Lepisosteus oculatus: one gene and its partners. The protein of the gene in region 3 interacts with the protein of the main gene of each other region in a pairwise test. Links are inferred from orthologs where the notes say so. Each region holds a gene or a part of one and is shown on either strand. Other genes may lie near its edges.

Region 1 (7,005 bases), on a different chromosome or scaffold from region 3:
CAAACGCTAACAGTGACTCAATTGATCCTTAATTCACCTGGTGCAGCAGCGTCTCTCACCTCTGCCTGTTCTGCTGTGTAGGAGGGCTGCTCTCCAGTGGGGGGTAAGTGGGCTCCTTCATGTATTGCAGAGCTCTGTCTATATAAGATCACTTTATTGGCCATATACAATTTCTATCATTAGGAATTTGTCTTTCCACATACCCCAGCTTTCTGGAAAAGTCCTGGACAACTTTCCCCCCGGCCTTTACCAGTCATGGCCTCCTAATGATCCTCATCTCTGAACTGGCTTCATCACTCTGCTCTCCTCCCACTGAGAGCTGGTATGTGGGGAGAGTACTGGTGCATCATCCAGGTGGGGCTGCACACTGGTGAGGCTGGAGGGGATCCCCATTACCTGTAAAGTGCTTTGAGTGGAGTGTCCAGCAAAGCACTATATACAGGTAAGTGCAAGCAATTATTATTTATATATGTTATTTTAACAATTAATGAAAGCAACAGTAACAGAAACAAAATGACATAAAATCTTAGTATTGTAGTATAGTATGGGGTCTGCAGAAGGGTAGTTCTATTAATTTTTAAAGTGTGTGGCATGGGTTAAGAGAGACTTAAGACTGCGTAGAAAAGCTGGGCACGGTCATGCCGCGGGTGCCGTGTGGAAGCAGAAAACGGCGCCGCTGCTTGAGAACGCCGCCCTCTAGCGGTCGATGCTGGTGCTGTGTGCGACGCTAAACACATTTAAAAAAATGTTCCCATAATCGATTCCTTTTTGAATACACAAATCCTGTTACTTCACGGCGGAAGCTCACGTACAAACAGCTGTTTCGTTTGACATCTTAGACAAAGAAATTCGCAGACTGTGACTTCAGGAATCGCACAGCTAAGGACGCAGCGACAATTTTTCCTAAAAAAAACCCTCCCCCGCTTAATTCGCCATCCGAAGGGCTACCCCATCCCACTGTTAACACCAATATAGCGCTGTCGGGTTCACGCGCCCTCGCCACTGCCGCCTCCGGTTGACCCCCCACCGCTCTAGGGACTCGAACCCGGACCTCCAGCGTCACTCCACAGGGACCCAGCCTCTTGAGCCAAAGGGAAATCTCCCGTTAGCCCGGCGGCTGCGGTCTCTGCTCTCCACAGGGAAGGGCGGTGACGTCACCGCGCTGGTAAGACGGCTCGCACAGCCTGCAATGTCGGCGGTCTGCGTTACAATAATAATGAGAAGAAGAACTTGGTATTTACTATTTGTACTGAACTCAAGGACACTGTACATAGTCATAAATAATAAAAAAAACAAAAAAGTAAAGGATAGTAAAATATAAAAACAAGAAATTACATTAAATAGGATCACCAGACGTCTTTTTCCCCCTAAATCTCCGTCCGGGCGGAGACATATTCCCTTATTCTTTTTCCCCAGTGATGTTCGAATCGAAATGGCTCTTGTACAAATATCTACCGATACAAATATCAGCAGAACCACAGCCCATCCCCCGTTGACAGGGGATTTTATTTTTAATTTAGTAAACATTTAAAACAGAATAACTTAGATGGTGGCTCCTCCACAGCTGAGTGACCAGTAACAAAACTCGACTAGTCTTTACAATTATTCGAAATATGATCTATTTAATAATTATTTACTTGTGAATAAAAAGGGGAGAAATATATGTTCAATACTGGAGTCAAAACTAACTTTTAACCATTTAACTAAGGCCAACTAAAAAATATTGTCAATAAAGTACCTCACAGTTTCAGGCAATCGGGTATTCCTGCGTGTTATTGAATGCCAGCCGGAGGGTCTTTACTGGGCAGACACGGTAATTAGGAATTCAACTTCATGACCTTCCCAGTGCCGTATTTCAGGGAAGGAGGACCGGAGCTCTCAACAAGCCCCACTTCAAACCCAGAGTTGTTGAACTCCTGAAGGGTGAGCGACGCGCCGTTTTCCACATTAAGGCTTGGTTAGGCTCGGCTGAGGTGAACAAAAGTGAGAAAAATATATCTGAGGGCCACCAATTTCTGTCTGTTGTTCCTTTTTTCAACCCTAGTCATGCCCCCCTTACAATTCTTTAAGTTAGGGAAATAACGGAAAATTACAATAAAGCAGGACACAACCTTTTTTGTCCTTCTGATCACTCAGTCGCATTTTTGCTGACCGCCAGCAACAGCTACATTAAGGGTGAAAACAGCAAAACAAATGAAAGGCCTATGAGCTGATACACCGCGGAGATCCAGGGACTGAGACAGGCTTCGCAGGTTCTGCTCTTCATTGTGCAAGTCTTACAGCTGGCGGAGACAGGCAACCCCTCCCAAGACACCCAGGTACCGCACCCCAGTCATCCCAAAACACAAGCGCCACAGCGTCGTAAACACAAATAGACCCAGTGTGCCGGCATAACATGAACCATATTAAAATGTGCTGCAGATATCCGTTTAGTATTACCACCTTCTATAATGCTACCTTCACACATGTTTAACAGATCTATGAAATTTGACTAATAAAGACTTTAAACAGGGAGAAACGTATTATTTAATATCTTCGAGGGAAAACTGTCGACCTTTGGGTAATACAAGTTGCTGCACTCTGAAAAACTGTTTTCATTACACAATTTATTCACACCATTACAACACAAGACTCCCAGAGATCACTAATATAACAAAATAGCTACTGACACAGAATTTAAAATGTAACAGAAAAAAAAGATTAAAAAACATTATATAAAATATTTACTGTTGTGAATTTAGCAATTATTAATGATTTAGGAGTCATTAATAACACAAGTCAGACATTAATTTGAGTTGACAATATGATTCAATAAAACCTTACTCTTTGATTTTTCAGAATTTAGTTTTGCATCCAAGCAGCTGTTTTACACATTGACAGGCTTACAGGAAACATATTAGTAGTACAAATAAACTTACATTAAAAATAATTGTAACATTACATTAAAGACATCAAACCATACATAGTCATTGCACATCCTTCCTACAGGAATCCACAGAGTTTTCCAGAACCTGTGAGTTTACTCCCCTTGTACCCTAAGCCTCTATAATTGCACATGACCCCTTCATTTTGCACATACCCACTGAGTTTAGCACACATTGATCCTCTGGAAAACGAATAACTTGCAGAAGCTTTTCTTCTAATTCTGTTTCCAGCTTCCTTATGGCTAAAATGACAGGCCGATTCCACGTCTCCACTCAAAGCGCTTTACAAGTAATGTGGTGGTGGAGGGGATCCCCATGACCTGTAAAGCGCTTTGAGTGGAGTGTCCAGCAAAGCGCTATATAAGTGTAAGCAATTATTATTATTATTTATATTTAAGAGGAGCATTTTAGAAAGATGCTTTGGGAGGTTCAGTTCCCAAATAAATTCCAGTACATCAGAGAAAACAAGACACACACACACAAATCAACCATATTTATAAATGAAGGCAAATAAAGCATCCCTTATGTTTCAACTTTGAGAAGAAAACATTTTCTTGGGGAAAAGGATCAGAGGAATGCGTTTTGTTGCTTGAAGTTCTAATTTATATTGTGCAAAACTGCTCAATTGTTTAAATGATTGTACGTTTACAGATAATACATGCGAAGAATTTCCTAACACTTAAGAAAAACGTTAAAAATCACTGATGAGCGATAAATCAAACCACAAGCAAGCAGCACTTTCTTTAACACACGTTATGAAATCCTACTACACACCAAAGCAGCAGATTCAATAGATTGAGTTGCAACGATATTAGAGGAGAACTATATTATTAACCAAAACAAATACAACACTGAAGTACAACAATTTATTTAGAATAATAGTCGATTTTTATTCCAGATGTGTTTTTCATTTTGCATGATGTTTAACGCTCTAGCGGTAACGAATGTGCTTTTACTAAGTGTCGAATTCGTCAGCATCATCACGGCAATCAATGGAAAACAAAACAGTTGTTGGGTAAATGTAGAAAAATCTTAATCTGTAGATTCGCTTTCAATGTCTTTAAAAGTTATTTGATTTAGGTGGAAGAAAAGACAAAAAAAAGTTTAACCGGTGAGTTTGAAAGAAAACGACTTTTTAAAACGAGTTTATTGTTAGGCAGTGTTTAAATCGCCACTTAATAGTTACCTGCCTTCTCCGGTGCTTACTGTCGAAACTGCTGCTCCGAAAAGTCAAGCTGTCGTTTTCCAAGCGGAGGTTTGAGAAGCTGATGTGTTTCTGGCGAGAGACGTATCGCTTCTTTAAGACACAAGGCGGAGGGTGGAAAACAGAAAAGGAGCCGAAACTATCGGAGAGAAAGATGTCACCCGAAACAAGCTTCTCGACCGAGTCTTAGAAAGGGGAATGGGACCGTCCTGGCTAAACAATGCTAGTTGGGGGCACGACTTGGGCGATTTGAAAAATAATCGTTGACGGAGCTTTTCCTGCTAACAAAAGACGTAAATAAAACACGAGCGAGAGGAATATGGGGAGGTAGGCGCCCGTCGAGGAGAGAAGTTTGTTTTCTTGTGGAAACGAGTGAATACAGGCGAGAGGGCGATGTGAAGAGCAGCGGAGTCAACATGATCCCCACTTGATGCAGCCGGAGTCATCAGCCGCGGGCTGTCCGAGCGAGAGCGGCGACGTGTTCGTCTACCCCGAGAGACGTAGACGCAGCTGTATTTCAAACCGTGTCCAAGTGTAAAGATTCACAGAAGCCCATCCATATTTAAGCATTTCATTAGAGAACATAAACGACTGTTCTTGGATAAAGAGTTAATATATAGCTGAATGTTTAGGTGCTGCAGGCTGTGTTTAAAACTATATAAATATTATGATTACTGTTGGGCAAGACAGGGGCAGAACGTCAGCAGGACCTGAGATTACTTCACAAGTTTGAACTACTGATTCATCGCGGTGATTAAATACTCCCGCCATAGTGCATCTGTTGCAGGAAAAATCCAGGAAAAAAGAAAGGCGACTAGTCGGATACTCAAACACTAGAACAAGCCACTACCTTTGGCCGGACAGCGAGGTGCAGTTGGTCTGCAGGTGGTTCCTGTCATGTGTTTGTAGTTTACAAACAAAACAACCGATCTTAGTGTGGGCTTCACCTAACCGGGAGTGTTTACACCCTTTTTAAAGATACTGTTTATTCAAATCCTGTAAACGCTGGGGTAGGTGTTTTGCAGTTTTCGTCCGTTCTAGCTTGGTAGAAATGAGAAAATGAACAGCGAGGCGCAGGATCTAGAGTTGAGCAATGGGAAAGCGAAGAAATCCGCTGGCGAGCAGGCAGACTGCGCAGAAATCATCCCCCGACTCAGCCTGCGGGAGGTGGACACAGCCGGGCGAGTGGTAGAGGGGGAGACCGCACTGGAGGTGGTGGATGGGGGGGGCGAAGAAGAGGTAAACGGGGACGACAGAAATGGGGTTCAGGTACCCCAGACGGCCGGGACTGATCTGGATTACGGCCCAGCAGACGAGCTTGTAGCGGCCCAAGGGCTTGGTGCCACTGGGGATGATGCACAAGCTGGCGTGGATTTGGCATTGGAGGACGGGCAGTGGCCAGAACCGGGCCCTGTGCAGCCCGAAGGGGGCCCGGGAGACAGGGACATTGTGTCCACTGATCCAGATGTGGCTTCGGAGTGCCCAGCGAGCCTAGGGACCCCACCCTCGACACCGGGGGCTGCTGAGTGCGCGCCCCTTCAGGTGGGGGCCGGTGTGCCCCCCTCACCGCCGGATGAGCACGAGAAGCTGAAACACGGGGTGAAAAGGGTGACTTTCCCCTCAGATGAGGACATCGTATCCGGAGCTGTGGAGCCCAAGGACCCCTGGAGGCATGGTAAATACCGTCCTTCCGCTGGCACCTGAGTTCCTGCCACTGTGTCTTGCTGTTTCGTGTCCAGCCCTGTCTGCTCTCATGACAGCACAGCGGCTGCGCTGTTAGACCAGATGGCACATCCTGAATTCCAGGCCTCTCATCTAGTGGCGGGTCAGATGTGAGATTTCAGGCTGATGGTGGTGAATGTGTTTTTCTTCTGCTCAAGATCCTGTAACAGTAGCTTGTCAAGTTGCAGGTCTGCTAAACTTCATGTGCTCTTTTTCCTTCGCAAAGACATGTCTCGGGTTTTAAAGATTTTAAAAAAGTGATTGATTGGAAAATAGATGTGCCTAGAAGGAGTGGAGTGTCTTGTGCTAGTAGTGTCCTCACACAGTCCTTGTTAGTGGAGTAGTAGCAGACACGCATGCCATGAAAACAGCCGTTACCTTCCCACAAATTTCCAGTTCTTCAAGCCAGGCCCTGCTTCATCCCTCCTGTGGTTGATGGGTTCCGGGCCACCCTGTGTGACCCCGAGCCCCAGAAGCATGTGTTCTGCAGTGTGTCACAGACAGAAGCTCTCGCACTGTGCGCTGGCCAAGACTGCCATTTGAAAATTACCTCCCTTTGTCCTTCTGATATTGTTTACGTTGGGCTGCCAGCGGAGCTCTGAGTGACGTCACAGAACCCGGTGCAGCTGTCTGCGCTGCGTCCGCCCCGTGAGATGCCACCTTAGGGGTCAGCGGGTCTCTCTGGGGAATGGTTATGTGCCGCTGTGCAGCGAAGTCCTTCTTTATGCTGCCAAGCCTGTTTACTACCTGCTTGGAGGGAGAGCTGTACAGGATGAAGTTAACATGTTTTCCAAATCTCCATATTAAACCTACAGGACCAGGGCAACACGACTCTGGTTTATGTCGTCAGCTTTGTCTTTCCTCCTGCGTTTTCTTGCTTGTTGCACAGCTAGCTGTGATCCAGTGTGTCCTGTGTGGACCTCTGGGGTTGTTTTTCAGCTCGACTAATTTGCCGTGTTCACAGCTCTGAGGAAATTAGTTTCCATCTAAACCCACTGGAGAAGCCATGCAGCTCTGCCAGCCTGTCGCACCCCTGCTCACCTTTCAGCTCCTCATCGGTGCTGGCAGAGGAGATGCCAAGCAAACATCCTCTTGTTTGTAGCCATTCTTGTGCAGACAGAAGTTAAATGTTAGGGACAAATCATGAGATAACAA
Region 2 (7,011 bases), on a different chromosome or scaffold from region 3:
ACCTGAGTGCTGCTCTTCTATATTCCCTTGAGAAACAGGAATCTATGAGTAAAAAAAGTCCTGGTATTACTCACCTTCTAAGATAATAATAGATCACCTTCCCTTCAGCACGTTTGTCTCAGTAATGAACAAATGTATATACGCAGACTGTTAGTGCACACATGAACCAGACTCTGGGACAGGACTGCAGTGATCAGACAGTATATTGAGATACTCAAGAGGGGGAGGAGCCGGAGCCTGCAGCTGGGGACAGGGGGGTCTGCCCTGCCCTGCCCTGCCCAGATTTCTAGGATGAGGCAATGTGGACAAGAATGAACAGCATTGTTTCCCTTTAGTTAGATGTTTCTTTTCAAGCACTGGTATTCATGTAGCAGGGTGTGGCTGACAGGCCCTCTCTGGACTTCGACAGTCAAACTGCCGATACAGCTTGAGTGGGTGACTACAGAGCCTTAGAGTATGGTCACACTTTTTGTCCTCATTGCTGGATCAATTTATTTATTTTTTGCACAGCAATATCCACAATTTTTTAATGCAAGACACATCCCTACGCATTAATTAACCCCGACAAAGCAGCACAAACCCGTGACCACCTGAGGTGAACACACAGTCACTGCAGACAGAAGGCATTTCAGTCCGGGTTCGAGCCCAGTGCCTATGTGCTGAGTGACTGCAGCCCAATCTGTAACCCCAAAGGCTTTATCAGAGTTTGTATCAGAGAACAGGCAAACAATCCTGAAAAAGGAAACTCTTTTGTGTTGTGGCCACTGATCATGAAGGACCCACCTGCCCAACGGATAAATTGTTTTTGGCTAATCCTGCAAATAAAGGTTACAATACAGAATCTTCAATGGGCACCTACCTCTCTTAATGTCATCCAGCTGGGGCTCGGGGGAGGGGTTGTCTTTAGTAGGGGAGGTTTTAGCCCCGACGCCAGGCTTGGTCGGAGCTCTGAACTGTGCGGGAGGCTGAGTTGCCCGTACTGACTGCTGTTCTATTCTTGCCTGTATTTTACTGCTGCCTTCCGCTCTGAAACCGAACAGCAAGATGATTTAAACACAACAGCACAGAATAATTTAATTTGCCGTCACGGTACACTGTAAGCAAGAGTGTTATCTGCTCTTTAAACAAAACACTTCGACATTTGGCTTTGAGGTGCATTATGAATTAACTGTTTAACGTCTTTTCGGGCACTGTATATTTTGTTACATGGCTCTTACCTGGTTTTCTTCACTTGTATGCTGCTGCTGAGTTTCTCCAGCATGAACTCCCCTGTGTCATGGTTGATGATCAGCACGCAGTCTTTTTGATATGGTCTTTTGTTACCTTTGAACACAGTCATTGGTGGTGTGGAGCCCTTGAAATGGGAAAAAAACCCCACAACAACAACAACACAACTTTAATTTAGAAAATGTTATACACACCGTAATAAATTCTATTCTACATCAATATTTTAAAGTAAGACTCTCCCAAGTTTTGACATAATTTCAATTTTTCAGTAAAAAGTTAATAATTTACAACTTTACCGACTTCTAGAGATCAGTTTAAGAAAAAGAAATTCATTTTAGAATCAAGAGATCTGGAATCAGCAGCCATGCATTAAATTAACCACTAACGACCACTACAAACTACATTTTAGGTCTGTAGCCTGATGAGCCATGGTGAAGACTGGGCTTTACCGGAATGTGAGGTAGAGTGATAGTGACTTCATCTCCTTTGCCTACTTGGAGCTCCCCTTCGCAAGATGTGTCGATGGACGCTGGTTTAAAGTCATCTGGGGAGCACAGGATGCGGAATGAATTCTGACAGCCATCTGCGATGTTTGCACTTTCATTCCAAAACGTTTCTCGCACCAAAGAAAGAAAACCTTTCTCCTCGCCCCATCACACCACCCATCCATCTTGTAACGGGGAAGCCGGAGCCGATCCCAGCCAGCAAGGGGTGCGAGGCAGGGCACACCCTGGGTGGGACACCAGTTCATCGCAGATCACAGACACACATGCTCGCACCTGTGCCGGTTTCCCCACAATACCCAGAGGAAACCCACATGAGCAGGGGGAACATGCAAACTCCACCAAGACAGAAGCCCAGGTTCAGAACACACATACAGTAGCACCAAGCCTTTACAGCCAGTAGCTGTTATCTGAGACTGTGTATAAGTCTTCAGTTATCCAGAGTACACCTGTAGTGCGCTCATCTGTATGCAGGGTATTGGCTGGAGTAACTGTGGGTGAAACACCTTGCTCAAAGGTACAACAGCAGCATCACGTTCAGGGTTTGAACCTACACTCCTTTCTAGAATCACATCACACAGCTGCCTTGGTCGAGTTTAACTGATTAGTAAATACAATAATTATAAAATCATATCCATGGAGATCATTCTCCTTATTTAACAATACAGCCCATAAAGAAAGGAGTATAATTAAAAAAAAATATTCTATCATGTTTACATCTTACCTTCTTACCCAATATACTTATGCTCTGAAAATGACAAAAAATCAGGATTCCAACTTTTAGACGTTCTAAATTCACGAGGAGCCACCAAAGAAATCCCTTTCTGAATTCACAGCGTACTAATTTTACTCCCTAACCTTTCCGTTCCCCAAGATAGGTATTATCACTGCACATACGTGTAATTAGCCCCACAAGTAAACAACATTTAGAGCCTTTATAACGTCTAAAACGTTGCTGAGACTTCGTGTGTTAACAACAGGATTATTGTGAATAAACGTAAAAGTTTCACACTTACACCTGATGGTGTGAAATGATGATTTCGGACGCTTTTCAAAGCTCTCTCCGAGCTTCAGGACATGCTCTTTGTCTAACAACGGGTTAGAACTCCCATTCATGTTTCCAGTTTCAATGTCCGATTCACATTAATAAAAAAATAAATAAAACATGCAGCGGCACACACGTTTAAAAAAAGTCGTGGGACATAAAACCAGATTGTAGGATTCCCAGTTGCAGGAGGCCGAGCATAACAAACACTCCTCTTCCTGTTTGTGTCCGACACACAAATGTCGCCGATGACAACATCGAGACCAAACTGGAAAACTGGAAGTTTCAACGTCATGAGAATTAACTGATAATAAAGGCAATTTTTAAAAACTTGAACATCTTCATGATTTGTGTTTGTATAATCTAATTGCGAGTGCGTTGCACAAAAAACCAATTTTGAACATTTACCTACAAAGACAATTTAATTATTCAGTTTCATATCCATAACACGGGAAAAGTACTGCAACTGTAATACGGAAATAAAGTAAACTGAATTACAGCAATACAATATAAACAACAAGTTTTTTTTTGCAAAATCATCAATCAAAATAATGCAGGAACGCAATATTTTTAGTTGGTTTAACACGGATTAAATTAATCGACGGAAAGGATGTTTTAGTTGTAATATTCCGGGTGGAATTTTAACTGGAATAGTTGGACCTCAGTTTTTACGCATTCATGTTTAAAATATGTTATATGGAGTAACTGTACAAAATAACTATTATGGAGCAAAAAAGCAAATGTTGCGTCCCCGTTCGTACAGTTGCTTTCAAAATACGACTGGTTAACTGAGGCACGTGTAAGAATTTGACACGTTTAATACTGCGTACAATTTTAAGATTATTTTATACGGGTAACCCATTCATTCCCATAATTTTAGAAAATGCAGTTGCACACTGTATGTGTTTTGTTTTCTTCAAGTTCAATTGAGTCTTTGCGATAGAACGATTAGCTGTTTTTTTTTTGTTTTTGTGTTGCAAATTTCTGTTTCCTTCGGTTTTATTTTTATTTTTTTTTGTAGTTTGTGCAAAAAAAAAAACTCTGTATGCCACTTAGGATGGAGGGCATAGACTCTGAAGATGCCTGCGGTCCACAAGGCGACAGTGCAAGTCCTTCAACTGGGACACAGTTAGCTGGGCTTGCGGACTCTGAGGTGTCTGCGGCAGTATTCCAGAGAAAGGAACACTGTGCAAGGGCTCTGTCACCGGAGGAGAGGGCGAAACTGAAAGGAGACCAATGTTTAGTGTCGGACTTCAAACAGCAGAAGCTCGAGAAGGAGGCACAGAGAAACTGGGACTTGTTCTACAAAAGAAACAGTACAAACTTTTTCAAAGACAGGCACTGGACCACAAGAGAGTTTGAGGAGCTCCAAGCGTGCAGAGAGGTATGGCAGGTGGATTTGTGTCCTTATAACAATATAATAATAAACTCCATTTTATATGGCGCCTTTAAAGGTGGCTTCTCAAAGCACTTTACAGAATGGCAACAACAATAAATAAAAAGAATACACAAGATAAAACACAATTACAATATACAGAGGAGACTGTGGATGGTGGAACTATGAAAAGCAGAAGCAGAGGGGTAAAGAATGGAACCAGTTAACTAAAGGCTCTTCTAAAGAAGAAGGTTTTGAGTCTGGATTTAAAGGAGTTTAGAGAAGGTGACTCTCTGATATCCTTAGGGAGAGAGTTCCAGAGCTTGGGGGCATAACAGGAGAAGGCCCTGTCACCCATACAATGTAGATGGGCTTGGGGGACAGTAAGGAGGGCACAATTAGAAGAGCGAAGGTTGCGAGGTGGGGAGTAGGGCGATAATAGTTCAGACAGGTACTGAGGTGCCAAGCCAAGCAGAGCCTTATAGGTGAGCATGAGGATTTTAAAGTCCACACGGAATTTGACAGGAAGCCAGTGCAAGGACTCCAGGATAGGAGTAATATGATCACTTGCTCTAGACCTGGTCAGGATTCTGGCTGCTGAATTTTGGACATACAGGAGTTTGTACCCCAGCGAGTAGAGCATTACAGCAGTCAATTCGAGAGAACACAAATATGTTGATCAGCTTTGTGTCCTTGAGGCCAAAGCAATAATATCAGCTCGAAGTTTGATGCTGCGTTTTAATTGTTCCTTGTGTGTTCAACCCTGATCTTCATCAAAGTAAAGTGAGATGCTTGGAGTGTAGGGGTAGTCAGCCTTGCGTCCCATTACAGAACTTTAAACCTTCCAATTAATTGCTTCTGAATTGTTTATTTACCCCAGTTGAAGATTGGATTGATAATTAAGCATAAAGTGGAGGACAATTGACTACCACATTATAGGTTTATTCAACTTGTAAATCATTGCATATATATCATTACATACTTTTGTCTTTGTAAAAGATCCATTTTAGAACTTGTCCTTAAGACTGATAAGGCAGACTCATTGAGGTCATGTGTATTGACAATTCCTGGTTGTTCCGTTTCAGAATATTAATTCAGTCAATGTAGAATGACAAGGAAGGTTAATTTACATTATTGGCTTTGTTGGGCCTGTAATAAATGCCATATGGTTTTGGTTTTGGTTTATGGAAATTGTAGAAATCTTATGCCTTCTATCCTTCAGTGTAAAGTTACCATCTCTTAATGTGGTATTCATGAGCAGCCAATGAGGCAAAGTATTTTTTTCCCCACAAAATTCATTGAAAACTAAAAACGTCAGTATTTATATTCCTATTAACATTTGTGTGTTTCAGTTTGAGGCTCAAAAACTGATCCTGTTAGAAGCTGGCTGTGGAGTTGGAAATTGTATATTCCCACTGTTGGAAGAAGATCTCAATATCTTTGTGTATGCTTGTGACTTTTCCCCAAGGGCAGTGGAGTTTGTGAAAGTAAGTAAACTGGAAGAAATATTTATAGTCTTATATTTTTTGCTGATTCAGAACCCACTGGCAGTTCAGACAATGAATGTCAATTGGACATATTAAATGTGGAAACCTTTATTTATTTTTTAATTTAACCTGAAAATGTTTTAATGCATTGTTATGTGGTTTTTGTTAATTTGTCTTTGAGATTTGTCCTGTTTTTAGTTTTGTGAAGTGCTGGAATGCCTCAGCATCAAGGCCACACTGTAAAAATTGCAATTATTTTGTCTTTCCTGCTAAGTGCCAAATTAAGATGGGATTCATTGTAAGAAGTGTGCGTTTCCCTGCACTGTACGCAATGCGGGTTTAATTAGGTAATGATCTAAAACATTGTTATATCACATGGTCGTCAGCATGACATAGTCACAGGTGATAATGTTTTGCAGTTAACAAAATGTGTACAAACTGTCAGATATTCAAGATGCATAAAGCTTGAATAAATTAAGGACTACAGACTACGCAAGCTGACGCAGCTACCCACCTGAACAATCTCAGAATAAGACTGAAAATACTGCTTCTCATCAAGGAATGAGTTTACTTCTGACTTCAGCAGTGCATTTTTAACTCCCTGTACGGATGTGGCATACACACTCTTTGGAGTCTGTCTTTATCTCAGTTCACAGAACAAAGCTCTGAACACTGGGAGGCCATGTTTTCTGTTCTGTTGCTCCAAGCATTTGTAATGATCTCCCAGCTAATATCAGATCTTGCAAGTCACTCAACACCTTCAAATACTGTCTTAAAACTCACTTTTTTATTTTTACTGTACTCATTTGTGTACAGTTGTCTTAATTATTTTTGTAATGCACTTTGAAATGATGTATCATAAAAAGCACTATACTCCCATTGTGCTCAGACTCTTTTGAAGCATGATAATGTACAATGTTTATCAGTAAACCATCTGAATGTTTTAAAGTAGTTCAGGTGGAGAGCTGCGTCAGCATGTGTAGGCTGCAAAGGAACAAGTAATAGGTTTATTCCATGCTGAAAGGAGAAGAAAGAAAACACAATGTTTCGGCTGTGGAGCCTTCTTCAGGTGGAAGGATTTGGGTGTTCTTCGGGTGTTCCTCACCCCTATAACTTGTTCCTTTGAATATATTAAATATGGCTTAGTGTGAGATCGTGTTTTTCTAGTCTATTATAATGTATCTGTTTGATGCCACTGTTTTAATTCAGCAAAACCCCTTGTACAACGCCGAGAGATGCGAGGCTTTCCAGTGTGACCTGACCAAGGATGAGTTGTCAAAGAATATCCCACTGGAAAGTGTGAATGCTGCCACCCTCATATTCGTGCTGTCTGCTATACACCCAGACAGAATGCGCCTGGCCCTTGAAAACATC
Region 3 (7,221 bases):
CCTGATTTAATGCAACAGTGTCTGCATTATGGGACATAATCTTAACCTGTTAATTTAATTAGCAACCCATTTCAACTACACCTATTTTCAAGACATTGACTAGCTGCAGTTTGATAATCACACCTTAACAGACTGTTACACCTGTTAAGGTGTGATCCTTCATCAGATAGCTTAATGGCCCTCATCTTAATGCAACCATTAATTCTTCAATCCACCTTAATGCACCTGAAATGTACCCTAATTCTTAAGGTGGCAGCTTTCCTCCCATTTCTCCCATTTGCGTAATATTCAACTTGACCTCTGTCATTTGTTATTCTGTTATTATCATTAACTAGTATAACTACTTCTGTTATTATCATTATTAACTATTTTGCAATTTAATCCAAGGTAATGCAGATGCGAAGCAATTACAGAAGTAGGAAAACATATTGTATTGGCTACACAATTTCTACATGACAGTGAGCAGGACAAAGGCATTGCTGTATGAGAGCTGGTTAGTTACAGTGTTGGAGACTAACTAGATGGGCTAAATTGACTTCTCTGGTTTGCAAAGTTTCTTAGATTCTTCTTGTATATTCAGTGAATATTACTCAATCACTACTAGGATCAGAATGGTTACCCTATATGCTGTTCCATGTGAGCTGACATCTCAAAGTTGAGTTTGGCGAGTTGTAAATTTAGAAATTTCAAAACTTTTCTGGACATAAGCAGCAAAAAGAAAAAAATACAGGCATGTTACTTAGAATATACCTTTTGGTATCCTCACAGCAACCAAATAAACCATAAACCATGAATAGAAGAACACGATGGAAAGAAATGAACATTTCTGGCATGTCCATAAATCTGTGAAATAATAGGATATGGCATTCATATTGTAACATTATTAAAAGCAGTTTTCAATTTTTTCTGTCTCCAAAATTTAAATTTCAGTTATGCTAGAATCCACATCCCAGCACTCTGCTTCAATAGTACTACTGTATGGTTGTTTGACTTTTACTGCAATATACTGTTCTGTCTGTGCTATGCTATGCAGATACAGTACAATTGTCAAATGGAAAAAATTGACTGTATTTTACAATACACATGACCAAACAAAGAAAAAACAATCTATCTTAAAGACACTGTGATAATGCCATGTGACTTGAAATAAATGGGATGTCTGCTAGTAACCATGCTGCAAGACAAAATAAGACAAATCCTGACCAACACACTGAGCTAAAAGTACTCATCACAGAAAAATAATATTACTTATACAGCATAAACTATATATATATATCTTTAGCAAGAGCTGAACGTATCTTCAAGATTAATGTTATCATAATCCTTGCCTGTTTATTCAATAAGAAATAAACAATGTACCTTCAGCCATTTTTGTATCATTTATTTCCCCGTTTGCATCAAGGGTGTTACTGCTTGCAAAGTATTCTGCTTCGTAATCTGGAAAGACAAGGAATATTACCATGGATTACCCACCAAGGTTCAGATGATACAGCAAAATACATCTGAATATTTTATACAAATCATATCATCATTTTGTCAAAGAGGAAGGAAATAATTAATCATAATTGTTTTCAAGAATTAATAGTTCAAGGTTTCCCTCCTTTCTATCCATCTCTTTGACACATACTCTCTAAAAGACAGGCTCTTAGAGGATAACTCTCACTATTAAGCTATTATGCTTTAAATGAGAGCTTCACACAAGACATCACCAACATATTTATATGTATGATGTTTGAAGCATTTACTTCATAAAGTCAGTATCGTTGAAAGAACAAATTTGCCAAATTTTAAAACATTCTTTAAAATGAACCTTGAAACAACTGCTCTTGGAAAATCTAACTCTCATATTACTAATGTAGGAAGAGTATCAAATCCCAGAAAAACGTAAACAATATTCTGTATAATGGGACCTAGGAAATATTTCGCTGTCTGTCTTTACACTGTAGTGAATGTGCACGACTATTTAGCGGAATGAAGACTATTGTAGGCAGGACTGGACCTGCCTGTTTAGTTTCCTGCACACTGCACGCTGTTAGGTTCTACCACCTGTAGGTGGAATATAAAATAGTCTAGTTCTCAGGCTCAAACTTGGCATCAAATCAAACCAAACTAAACTACTACAGATCACGTTAAGCCAATATTGATATTGCTGATATTATTTCATTCTCATGCGCAACAGAATTGTTTAACGCAAATTTTCATAATGAATATACACTCGAACAAATGCACTTTTTATAAATTTGTAATCTAATGACAGAAAATACAAGTTCAGTGATATCCGTCGGTTTGTCAGTGTGCCTTTCAGACTACCTACTCCTCATGAAAACAACCACATATATAATGCATTCTTCGAGCATTAGTTTATTCTTCCGTTGTGTATACCCCATGTGACAAATATATTAAATAATGTCTATGTATACTGTGTTTCTATTGATGGACAATAATCTCCTTTCAACTAAACAAACGTTGCAGGTGCATTCCGTGTTCTTTAACAAGGGTTATTTCATTTTAACCTTTTTGTTTATACAATACCCAAAGGAGCGACTGCAGACGAATCGTGACAAGATAAATTCCCTGCCTTACCTTCTTCGTTAATCAGTTTGAAGCTTTGGGATTTTCTGCTCCTTTTCCTTTCAGAAAACTCCATTATTGGTATCTGTGCGATAAAGACCAGGGAATGAAATCTAAAGCAGAACTCCAGCGTGTAGTACATCAGAATAAACAGCAGGACCGGGGTCCGTCTCTGTAATCAGCAAAAACTCCTGCTCATTACAGTATTTCAGTTCCAACTGCTTAGCCTCGCGTTTATACGCCCTTAATGGTTTTGAAAATTAACCGTGTTAATTACAGCTCTTGAATAAAACATTTTGTACTAGTAATCGATTGATCTTTATTTATTATTTTAGAGCGAATCCGTTTGTATTACAAAAAGATGAATCGGTGTACTTATATTTTCCATATTCCTTTGCGCCACCTGATGGAATTGTTTTGTAGGCTAGATGTTCATCACCTGGTTACCCACACACAGAATGAATGGTTTGAGGCTAAGGCTAGTTGACTTTTTACTGAGGAAATGGGGTAAAGTATCTCAGCCCCTCTCGGTGTCCTTGTTATACGGTCTGTTCACCTTTGTTTAAACTAGTCAAATGGTTAGGAAAGCACAATACTATTATATATATATATTAATCACAATTTTTTTATTTCAAGTCTGTTTCACGAAAAGTTAATAGTAGTAATAGTAATAATACATTTTGAATAATTTAAGAATAGCAGAGATCGATGACTTATAGCACCTTAGTACGATACAATTAATTAATGTCAAATATGCTTCGAACCAGTGCCAGTACCACAATTTATGCATATTTAATCATTAGGTAAAAGCGTATGGGTCATGTGATTGTGTGGACAAGCACTGTTCTCATTAACAATGAGAGAGATCTGCATAAGGGAGGTACCAACACCAATGACCTGTCGAGGTTTTTTATTCCAGAGGTTTCGGCTTCTGGCAGCATCTGTGTATCTTGACACCGCCCCTTGACCTTTCACCGTATAAAAACCGACGGAAGTGTTGGAGAATTGCTTCCTGTTTTGTGTGTTTTTTTTTAACAACACCGAAGGAGTTTGTGTTACATGCTATCACATCATGGATATTTTAAAAGCTGAAATAGCGAGGAAAAGGAAGCTCCTCGAAGAAAAGGAGCTTGTTGGTGTGAGTTACCGGTGTCCAATGGAAAATATTCAATTTTATGATGGTTTAAATGACTTTTTTTTACCGTCTATCACTCGGTGTTACCCGCAACGATAACCTGCTTTATACTTATGGATATTTGTGTGTTTACAAAACGCTGTCTAGTATACCAATATCACAGTAAAGGACTAAGTAACATTAAGAGACCCTTTCCATGGGATTTACTGTTATATCCGAAGCTGTCGACAGCATTTTAATAAGTCTGTAGTATTTAAACACGAAGTTTATTTTTTGCTTGTTTCTGTCCAATTCGAAATGTTAAATCAGTGCATGGACGTCCAGTGGACTGCTACCTTTCATGAGATATTAAACTAAATACTTAAATAATGTTGAGTGCCATAACGTCAACTCTTGTATTGCAGGAGTCAAAGAAATTCTTTAAACGCAGCGAGCTTGCCCGAAAAGAAGAAGAATCCTATTATGAAAGATGTGGTTATAAGGTACAGTGCTGACATATTTATAGATTTGTATTCGGATAGCCTTATACAGGTGTTTCCCTGTGTGAATTTTAGGCGTTAGATCGGGCCAGAACAGTTGCACATGCTGTGAGTGAGCACAGTTAATTGGCAACTTAGGCACTAGGATGTAAGTCGGAAACTGGGTTCATTTAAACGCAAAACCGCAGAGAGACTCTCTGTGAATAAGTAGAAAACCAAAGTGCAACTACTCCTCTCTATCTTGGAGTCAAGAGCAGCACAGCTAAATGGTAGCAGGACTTTATTTTGTACAGTGACCTTTTATCTTATGCAAGGAGATCATACTTTATGAATAATATTTTCTTCACATTCTGAAATTCCATGGAAAAATAAGATAAAATACAGTATATGACAAACCATACAAGTTTAATCATTTATTCCTTAGGGAAATATTCCTTCAAATCAGTGGACTTCATTATTTGCCAAATACATGCACTCTAAAAAATGGCCAAAACAAACAAGGATTGGAGGTCTAGTGTACAGCTATACAGTCTTTAGATTAGGGAGAAATGTGTTTATAGTGACAATCTCAGGAAGATTGATTCAGTCCGGGTCATATTCTTTGTGTGGTAAATTGCCAAAGTTTTGAAAAACTGCCTGTCTGTCGTCTTTGCACTTCATGAGATCTCAGGTGTGGATGGATGGTCACTGACCTAGAGGATCTAAATACATTTGGCTTAGGTTGTATGACACCTGATGCTTTTAGTGAATCACCCTTAGGTTCCAACATACCGGCTTCTGTTTATCGGATTTTAGATCTCTTTTAAAGTACAGACTTGTTATTCTTTTCTTTTGGACATTAATGATGTCTGTGTACATTTGCTTCTCTTTAGCTTGTCTTGATCTGTACAATCACAGTGTTAACCCAGAATATCAATTAAATGTAAAATGATCAAATCCGTACTTTATTTTCAAATTCCAACAGTTATCCAGTAGTTATGCATGGTGTATGTTTGCAAACCAGAACTTTTTTTGGCCTATCAGCTCGTTACAGCTTTTTTTCTGATTCCAATCATGTGTTTATATGTATATTAGAATATTTTGCACATATGAATACAGTGCTTTCTATAAAGGTTCTCTGGCTTTCTTAGTGATTTTTTTGGCTTGTTCTTCAGACCCTGTCTTTATAACATCTAATGCTGCTCTTCCATCCTGTCTGCATTGCACTGTAGGTTGTTAATGAGAAGCCAGCAGGAAAGGTATGGGATTAAAGAGGGCAAAGATTTGTCCCTGCTGTAGAGCAAAATTGGGCATGCTGAAACACATTGATTTTTTTTTCTTGCATTTTCTTTTGCTTACAGCATGAACTAGCAAACTGTGAAATTGTTTTGAGCAGAAGAAAATAAGTCTTGGCTGCACCAGTTTGAAACTAAAAAATTCATAGGGTGGAACTAACTTCAGTTATTCTGGACAGTTTAATATTCACAGTTTAAGATATTTTAAACTCACCCTTTTGTTTTAGATATGGATCACAAATATTAGTGACCTTTTATAAAAAAAAAATCTTAGCTCCAAGTAAAAAATTCCCCCTTTCAATAATAGTCTGTTGCTTTTTAGCAGATATTGCGGTGCTTCTGAGAGATCCCTTAAATTGCCTGTTATCTTTTTTTACAACTACCTCTTTTTGTACTGCTAGCTGTAATTGGGAAAAGTGCATGTGCTTCTGAAAGCATGATTCAAATTGAATTATTTAAAAAAATACACTTATGTATTTTTTAAAATAATGGAGTACTAGTGAACAAGCATTGAAAACACTTTCCTTGTTTTCTGCATCTGTTCAGGAAAAATAAAGAGTGTCTTGTAGCATGGTGGTTTCCTTTTTTCAAGGCAGCCGGAGTTGTTTGCTTAACTGTCCTTTTTAAAGTATTAATTTGCACCATTAATAAGTACTTTATTTGCAGAGTATAGGCAAGTGTCACTATGAGAAGCGGGGATAGTAACATTGTGGGAGCAAGAATCTAAAGACTTACAAAAGAACCTGTAAAGTGTCACCTTACTAATTCGTGTTACAGTACATGTTTAGTTTATATTTGTCATGAATGATTAACTTAACGTCACGTTGGTTTATTAAATAGCTGTTGAGAGGTGTTGCATGCAATTTAATTATATGTTTAAGACAAGTTCTGTGTTCTGGAACCCAGTGCTATACTCCGGATCATCTAACTGAGGATCAGTGCTTTCCCTAATTGACCCAGTTTTTTCTCTGTTTTTAGAATCTTGATAGATTCCCATGCAAGTATTGTCTCAAATTAATTTCTGTTGTGCAGTGTTGAAATACTTTTCAAGTAGATGGCGTTGTTCAGTGCGTTTTTTAAAATATTAAAGCACCTTTGTTCTCTTTTTTTTCTGAAGTAGTGAGGTGTTATATATATTAAGTGTTTATAAGAAGCATCAACATAAAATATTGAGGCTATTTAATGTTGTAAGCAGTCGACTTGTTAGTATGTATTTTGTATGCATTATCAATGTCAGTGGCCCTTTGGAAAGGAAAGTTATTTAATTAAATATATTACAAAATAAAAAGTAACAAATTGCTCATATAATCTTTACATTTACAGTATCTTGTTAAGCATGGGATCTTCAATTTGGTTTTAATTTAAAGTTGCAGCGAAAAGAAGATGAGCCTGAACCATCGACCTCCTCCAATCCTGTATTGGAACTTGAACTAACTGAAGAGAAGCTGCCCATGACGCTTTCACGACAGGAGGTAAGCCTCATGCAACAGTGCAGAAGATGCTGTGCCCTTCTCAAGGCAAAGTGTGTTGTACAGAACATGCTTGTGTTCAGATGTCTGTGCATGTGCTTAGCTTTTTTCTAAACTAATTTGGTGAAAGGTGTTCCCAGATGCACTGTTTCTCCTCTGCAAAGGCCACAAATACCCAGAATCCTGTCATGGATATCATCCTAGTCCACCCACTTTCGCTTCCACTTTGGAAAGTCCATGGAGACTTACAAATTGGAGTCTCTGCAAAATCTAAGAGCTTTCGGCGATTACTT
Region 4 (7,938 bases), on a different chromosome or scaffold from region 3:
CATGTGCAATAGAATGATGTGCAATGTTTTTCTTTGTTATTTTTTTGTAATAGTATAATGTGTAATGTTTTTCTTCTCTTTTTTTGCATTCTATTTAAATGTACAGTAGTGCTGGGTGTCCATAAAAAAAATTCCCTCACTGGACAATAAAATCTTATCTTATTATAAAAATCAAGATGTGATTTGCTTGGACTTTTAGTAGTCTAATTTTTGACCATTGAACAGGTCAACATAGTTCAAACTTCTTTATATTTTATAGAAATTATGTAAAAAATGCACATAATATATATGTTCCTTTGAATCACAGATCATGTCTTTTGAATATTTTATGTTTTAAATAAGTCTGTATTAAATGTTTTGTGGTACTTTTTTTCCCAGTAATGGAAAAATAAAAACACTAATGCAAGTTCATCAAGATGAGTCATTTCTCATCCCCCCCCAGAAGCCTGGCATGCTAGAGTTTCCCTGCTGACATTCCAGAAATCTTTTCATCTTCTGAAAAGCACACATCACTGAAGAAATAAACACAAAGACCAAACACCAACCTCTACCCTTCGCACTGCAGCCTTTCTGCAATCACACAAAATACACAGCACACCTTTCTATTCCTGACAAGATAAAGGGTCCCTTTTCATTTACTCTTCTACTTTGAATGTACCAGATGACATTTTCCTCAGGTCTCACCCAGTCCAAATCCTAACACATTACAATGACACTAGCACCTTGCATTTAAAGAGGACATAACCAGATTTGGGGTGGTATGGTGGGGCAGTGGTTAGCATTGCTGCCTTGCAGCACTGGAGCCCTGGGTTCAATTCCTGAGGTGCTGTCTAGGTGGAGATAGTTGTGCGCATTACATTTGTATGGGGTTCCTCCCACAGTCCAAAGACATACTGGTTGGTTAACTGGCTTCTGGGAAAATTGGCCCTGAGCTGGTGTGAGTGTGTGCATGTTTGTGATTGTGTGTGCATTGCTTTGGACTGGCGACCTGTCCGGGATCTATCCTGCCTTGTGCCTCTTGCTTGCCAGGAAAGGCTCTGACTGCCACCCAGCCCTGTACTGGATAAAGCAATTAGAAAATGGATAGATGGATAACCAGATTTGTGCCCGATAAAGTCCTGCTGTTTCCAGTCTCAATGGAATCTCAATGGAAATTCACTTCCTTCTTGTCCCTTATAATTGAGCTTTTCTGTGCAGTTCACAAACAGAAATCACAATGAAACTCAGGGGCTATCAAGTTGGCTGACCCATTCAAACAACTGTCTTGTTTAAAAAGTACACTGTAAAGAAATGAAAATTTGGTAAACTTCTAAATAAAATCAATTCTGCCTTTCACTTCTTGCTTGCTGGGACAGCCTCCGGCTTCCCTGCAACCCTGTATTGGATAAAGTGAGTAGAAAATGGATGGATGGATAAATAAGATCATAGGATCACTTCACCCTGGCAATATCTGAACAAATCAGGCGGAAAAGATATCATCAACATCAACAAGAGGGAATACAGTGTGTTCCTGGGATGTAAAACAGCCAGCGCACCTCCCCTGCGAGCACCCAGTGGAATTATACTCCAAGTGCAAAGTGTTCCCCATTGTCCTATTTGTATTTGTATAACAACAGTTCACTTCTGCATGGAGCACTGTTCTCATGACACAGTTGTCAGAAAAGGCCAACTTTAAAAGCACCTTGCCTGTCGGCATGTGCAGTTCATAAAGTTTCTGTAAAAAACAACAACAACAGAGCACCATTTGACGCCCAATTACCTGTGTGTGACCTCTTATGGAGCTCCAGATTGCTGGGATGTTTGAATGTCTTTCCGCACATCTCACAACAATATTGCTTCTGGTAGTTTTGGAGGTGGGCAGCATCTGCCGTGCCAGCTGCCGGGTTGTGCTCAGGCTCGTCCAGCTGTGCGAGCGAGGCGCTTGGAAGCTGCAAACACGGCGCGGGGGCAGCTTTACTTTCCTTTTCTGCACTGTGGCTGTCAGCGGAATGGTCGTTAGCCCCCTTGCCCCTGGGCTCAGACTGATTTGTCTCTTTCGGGGCGCTGTCAGCTATCCCGTCCGCCTGTAAAACAGACTCCTCCAAAGCCTTCTGGGATCTCAGGTAGTCGTATTTCTTAAGGTACACTGCCTTTTTTGGTCGAACCTGCCTATTAATTGGAGAGCCCTCACCTGCAGAGCTCTGACTTGCATTGTGCTCCACTGCTGGAGACATGACAAAACTAGACCCCAAGGATCCTGCTGACTCAGACACACAATGTGCCGTGTTGACAGCTGACACAGGCATATCCACTGGAGGGTTTGTGTCTGTAACACTGGAAGAAAAGTGCTCCCCTACCACAGTACTATGAGGTGGATTTACAGCCCCATTCAGAGCTGCATTTTGTTTAAAATACTGTTTGCTGTAAAAGTTTCGCAGCTTATAACCATGACTCAACTGCTTATCTGGGATCACTGAAGCACCACTCAGTGGTTCAAAGGCCGGGGTTTGCAAATGTGTCTGTGGTCTTCTGGAAAGATCAATGTCTGTAGTGGCACACGCAGGTTTCTGAGCCTCAGAGGAGCCGTGCAACTCCATCTCAGGAGACAAACTGGCCCCAAGTATGCATTCAGTATCTGTTGCCAAAACACCTGGTAATGAGAATGAGGAACTACCAGGGAGGCTTCCCGATGCTTCTATGGCTGGAGTGTATGGTTTCAGGAAATTATTGCACATATTGAGCACATTTGGTATTTGGAGACACTGAGCCATTTCTAACATTCCCTGAACATTGTCCTGGTTCAGATCAAGATGGGACGTATACATGAAATCCAGAATTTGCCCAATTCCTCCTACATCTTTAATGTCAAGATGAAAAACATCAGTTTTCTGACCGGGTGAGTTTTGAAATAAGGACCTGGAGAAAAAAACAACAACAACAACAACAAAAAATGTATTCATAAAGTTGGAATATTACTTACTGTAGCTTTTTTTAAAACCCAGGATTTAGAGTTTTTTAAACATTTCATTCCAATTTAACAATGAAATTACCAACATATGCATAATACAAAGTGCTCAGCCATATATATTCAGCATTACTGAATGTTTTAGCGCTAGTAAACTTACCTAAAATATGAACTGAAGGCAGCCAAGACATTTTTGTGGGCCTTAAAACAGACTCCCTTGACAACCAGCATGCAGTCACACAGAAAGCCCTGGATACGCTGCTCTTGGAGCTGCTGAAGTAGGTAAGAGCTGTGACTGGACAGAGACTCCATGCTCAACCTTCATTCCATAGCTCACCCGTAGAACCAGGACCATTCTCATCAGGTTTCACATACATGACTAGGCTGTTGAGCAAAAAAACAAAGTATGAGTGCACATACCCTGCAAGTTACAATTATAAGGACAACTGTAGTAGAAGGAATAACAGTTCCTCTCATTTATATACAGATTTTCATCCCATACGAAACTAAAACACTTAACATACAAAAGGGGAACTACTTCATTCACCTCACCTGGGTGACGAGACCGCCATTTAAATCTTAAGGAAACTATAAAAAAAGCAATTCTTTTAACACAGAAGCTTCTGAATGAGTTAGAGGGAGCGTGTAGCCCGAGCTACAGTGGCCAAGTACGATATGAATCGAACGACTGTGTAGTATGCACCAGGGTGCAATGTGAGGGACATTGAAAGAAAAGGCACCGTTTCATCTTAATGGAGAGCACAAAATGTGAAATATCAGAAATCAAGTACAGCTTCAAGATTTCAGCTGCAGCGAAATGGTTTTGCGTCTGTGACTCTTCATCTGAAAGTGTCACAGCAGTTTTGGTTAATTTCACCGCACGTGTTCGGCCACTAAACAACACAACACACAGCCACACTTGACCCAAGTGGCTGCTTTCTTTCTGCCTGCAGAAAAACCACGCAAGCTACGGCGCCTTTATCTCATTTCAGTATCCCCAGATATAAAAACTGAAGAGACCTGCCAAGACAAAAATAGGCCCAGCATAGAACAACAGGCAAATAAATTAGTGCTCAAATATATAAAACAGACAATAAAACACGTATATATCAGGTTCTGTAGCACACTTACAGAACCTCAGAACAGGTTACATATTAAACAAAGCACAGTTTAATTCAGTGATATGTTTTAAAAAAATACCTTCTTTCCCGTTTTGTTTGGATGATCAGTCACCACGTCCTCTTGAACCTTTACCTCACTTCCGCAACAAACTGTGATCGAAATCGCCACCTAGCGGTTAGAGATAAAATAATGATGTGGGGATAAAAAGGTGTGTTGATTTTTGTTTTTTATTTTGGTTAGATACTATTGATTTAAGGGAGTGGTCCAAAGTAAATTATGCACTTTCAAAATAGTAAAGGCACTCCCTTTAGTGGCTTTAAAACCTATCACGAATACGGATTTTTCACTGTTCTGTGCCCGAGCTAAGTCTGTTGTTACGGTTCCCTTCTGATTTTTTTAAGTTTAAACTGTTAATAACACCAAGCCCTCATTTTCTAGTATAATGAATATAAGCAATTAACACAGTTTTGCGGGTCATGTGAACTCAGGAGGACACAATTTTTCCAGTTCCACTCTACACGAATCCTGAATGGCAAGTCTGGAATCCTCTTCCTGGAAATCTCATTTAGGAACAAAAGTGTTTTGCCACTGAGCAACTTTCTGTTTAATATATTTCCGGAAAACGTATATTATCAAAGGGATTTAGGTTTTGCCCGCGATAATTATTCAGTATATACAATATGACAATAACCCATTATCGTTTTTAGTCTTTTTTTAACTTTGTTGAAAGTTTATTTTGTACATTCTTATTGCCACTTGAACGTATTACACTAATATTGTGTCAATACTATAAGACTAAGTAAAAATTTCGATTTATTCTTCGACCGATATCAACAAGATTATATTCAAAACTAATCCAGAGCACTTTTGGGAACATCAATTTGGGTGCGGTGTTCCCACGGAATGTAAATAGTGTAACACTGCTTATCCGGAACACGTGAAGTTGCTCTAGGTATGTTCAAGTGATCTGTAAATTCGGACGTTTAAAACAGTAAATGATTATGTAGTTTTAATTTCGTATACATGTACACGAACGGTTTAATTAAAGTAAAAATATCAACATTGCAGTACTGTGTTTTCACTAGGAAATCTTTAATACAGAGAATTTAAAATTTTAAGATTTTTCATTTACCCTAGTCGCTGTCACGTGTTTTTTTTTATGGTTCCAGGGTCGCAAAGATCTGATTGGGGAATATTATTTTTGTGTTCCAAATTCGAAGTATTTCAGGATGGTTTTCTTCACCTGCAATGCATGTGGAGAATCATTAAAGAGGGCACAAGTAGATAAACACCTGAATATTTGTCGGCACTGTCAGTGTTTGTCGTGTATTGACTGTGGTAAGGATTTCTGGTGAGTATCTTTTAAGGTCCAAAATATGTTACTTTAAGGTCTTTTAAGGTCCAAAATATGTTACTTCCCAGATTCGTTTTTTTCTTTTTCTGCTGGAAGGGTGGAATTAATGTAGTTTGCAGTGTGTGCGTGCGGAACGTTGCCTTCGTTAAGGATCACTCATTGAAAGCCACTAAATAACAAATCGAAGTTAATTTTTATTTTATAATCCGCATAAAATAGGTTTACTATTATTGTATTTCATCCTAGTTAATTGAGAACGAAAAAAAATAATACCGCTTACTATCAAGAGGAAGCCGTTTGGTTCCTAACGGTTAAGTGATCTAGGGATCTCATCCACATGTTTCTTGAAAAAATCCAGGTTTGTTCCTACTCGTTGTTGAAAGAAGTGACTCCTGTTCTCAGTTTTAAATGAACTTCTGCATACTTTTCACTTGTTACCTTTGGTTTATGGTTAAATGTTTTCAAATTACTTTGTTAACGCCTTAGAGAATTTCCAATATCAGAACCAAGTTTCCCTTTTTCTATATTTTATCCAAGACTAAAAAGAAACAGCTGTTCTTTTGGCAGTACATTCATTCACTTAAAAGAATCAGACTCCTCTTTGAAATGAGCAGTAATATTAATTTTTCTATTCTGGTAAACAAAATTGTATGTGATATGCTGAATGTCTTACTAGTGCATTGTACAATTTTAATATAAAACCCCTTGAATTCATTTAATTTTAATAAGATGATTTTAGTTATGTAACCTAGCATTGTTTGTTTTTTTACTGTTTCCCTACTTTGGTTTGATGAGTCTTGTATACACAAAAGTCATACAAGACTCTATCCCGTTTAAGTCTGTATTAATATTTCTACCTTAAAAATATTTGAAATATTAACAGTATCCTTGTAGGAAATGATAATCTTCAACACATTTAATGGATTATAATGCATTTGTTGTTGTTTTTTTGCTACAGGGGAGAAGACTATAAAACGCACCTTAAATGCATCAGTGAAGATCAGAAATACGGAGGCAAAAGCTATGAAGCCAAGAGTAACAAGGGAGATGTGAAACAGCAGCAGTGGATTCAGGTAGATCAGTGTTGTCACTTCTTCAGGACTACATCAGACTTCTCGATATTTGTTCATAGGGCATGAAAGTCTGCTGCAACCTAATTTTATCATCATGATAGATCTGATGTATATTGAAAATGCAGCTTGAAAATTTTGTACTATCATAGATAAATGTTTTATAAAACTGTAAATCACGTCTGTTTTTATATTTCAAATTAAGTATTTTTTGTCACTAGGCGGGTGAGAAAAAGAATCATTGATGTCTTTTATTATAGAATAAAACACTAAACTAAGTGTTTTGTTTTAGAAAACAGAGCAGTATAAAATCTATGTGCTCTGTAATTTAGTATTCTGTTTTTAATTGTAAACCTAAAACCCGTCTTCTTACTGTCGTCTATGTCTGAGTGTATTATGAATTGTTTTGTGTGTTCTTGTTTGTATTTTTATCATTATGTACAGCATCCTTGGGTTTGGACTGAATCTGAATAGTTGTAAACAAATGTCATTATCATTCAGGTTATGTGAAATTAAAAAGTTTTAGCATTTTGACATTTTTAACTGGATATTGTTTTCCCTGAAAGTTTAATCATGTAAAATATTTATGTGTTGGGATGCAACTGTCCTGCACTTTTGTTTTATTTTTTTAAGGTTGAGTGGGCAATTATTTTTATTAATAAAAAAACAAGTTGAATTGCACTGACCCCTGTATCCACATGGACAAAAAATAGGCCCCCTGTCTTGCTATTCAACTTTTGACACATTACAACGACATTGAGTACTGATTGACAGTAATATATACACATCTCTGCCATCACCCCAGACCTGCCAGCATCCAGGAAATCACTGTGGTTGCTTTTTTACTGGGAGCTAAGAGAGTTCTGGCTGAGCAGTCTAAACCCTCTATTGCCACCATGTGGTCAATCCTGGTCAGCATTAAGCAATTGGCTCAAGCACAGCCTGTGGTTGGAATGAGCACTATTACCTTGTTGAGCCACTCAAGGGGCCCATTCAGCACATTTCCCAACTGTCTTTGAGCAATTATTTGCTAAACTTGGAAAAAATGATTTCAGATAATTTCAGCATGTGAATTTAGGGAAAATGGAAAGTGCTTTTGGAACTCAAGGGTAAGTGTTCAAAGCCTCTTTTGTAATGTTAGTAATGTTTCTCATGATTTACTTTTCATATCGTTCAGGCTCCTGAATGTTTTGTTGTTCACAATTCTTACACGGTTATCGTAAATATTCTCACGAGAAATAACTGCCTGTAATATTTATGAGAATAATCTGTTGTAGAAAATCCATGAAGCAGTGAATAAACCAGGAATCAGTCCAAAATTACGTGAGGTGCTGTCCCAAGTGAGCTCCTACGACAATGTTCCAAGAAAAAAAGGAAAGTTTCAGGTAAGTGAACTGGTTTGCTTGTCTGTTATTCCAAATGTGATATAATGATATTATGTGATATTA

What was found.
Region 1: the proteins of bend7 (region 3) and ppp1r37 interact in binary tests that used the Homo sapiens proteins (3 or more experiments, as listed by UniProt). The two-hybrid records come from large-scale screens. The link is inferred for Lepisosteus oculatus from reciprocal best matches to the Homo sapiens genes BEND7 and PPP1R37.
Region 2: the proteins of bend7 (region 3) and eaf1 interact in binary tests that used the Homo sapiens proteins (3 or more experiments, as listed by UniProt). The two-hybrid records come from large-scale screens. The link is inferred for Lepisosteus oculatus from reciprocal best matches to the Homo sapiens genes BEND7 and EAF1.
Region 4: the proteins of bend7 (region 3) and lyar interact in binary tests that used the Homo sapiens proteins (3 or more experiments, as listed by UniProt). The two-hybrid records come from large-scale screens. The link is inferred for Lepisosteus oculatus from reciprocal best matches to the Homo sapiens genes BEND7 and LYAR.

The regions. Positions count from the first base shown.
Region 1 is NC_090698.1:1,061,382-1,068,386, forward strand, and holds the start of ppp1r37 (protein phosphatase 1 regulatory subunit 37), read left to right. Parts: upstream 1-4,003; 5' UTR 4,004-5,187; coding exon 5,188-5,803; intron 5,804-7,005. UniProt on the Homo sapiens protein: Inhibits phosphatase activity of protein phosphatase 1 (PP1) complexes.
Region 2 is NC_090705.1:41,671,512-41,678,522, forward strand, and holds the start of eaf1 (ELL-associated factor 1), read right to left. Parts: upstream 3,001-7,011; 5' UTR 2,847-3,000; coding exon 2,747-2,846; intron 1,772-2,746; coding exon 1,677-1,771; intron 1,355-1,676; coding exon 1,218-1,354; intron 1,027-1,217; coding exon 860-1,026; intron 1-859. Other genes in the region: tRNA N(3)-methylcytidine methyltransferase METTL6, read left to right, coding at 3,821-4,159, 5,503-5,637, 6,847-7,011. UniProt on the Homo sapiens protein: Acts as a transcriptional transactivator of ELL and ELL2 elongation activities.
Region 3 is NC_090702.1:14,200,352-14,207,572, forward strand, and holds the start of bend7 (BEN domain-containing protein 7), read right to left. Parts: upstream 3,010-7,221; 5' UTR 2,714-3,009; coding exon 2,584-2,713; intron 1,438-2,583; coding exon 1,360-1,437; intron 1-1,359. Other genes in the region: prpf18 (pre-mRNA-splicing factor 18), read left to right, coding at 3,644-3,709, 4,111-4,188, 5,397-5,423, 6,827-6,931.
Region 4 is NC_090696.1:43,715,820-43,723,757, forward strand, and holds the start of lyar (cell growth-regulating nucleolar protein), read left to right. Parts: upstream 1-4,925; 5' UTR 4,926-5,018; intron 5,019-5,235; 5' UTR 5,236-5,295; coding exon 5,296-5,417; intron 5,418-6,378; coding exon 6,379-6,493; intron 6,494-7,767; coding exon 7,768-7,875; intron 7,876-7,938. Other genes in the region: zbtb49 (zinc finger and BTB domain-containing protein 49), read right to left, coding at 1,760-2,895, 3,105-3,256. UniProt on the Homo sapiens protein: Plays a role in the maintenance of the appropriate processing of 47S/45S pre-rRNA to 32S/30S pre-rRNAs and their subsequent processing to produce 18S and 28S rRNAs. Also acts at the level of transcription regulation.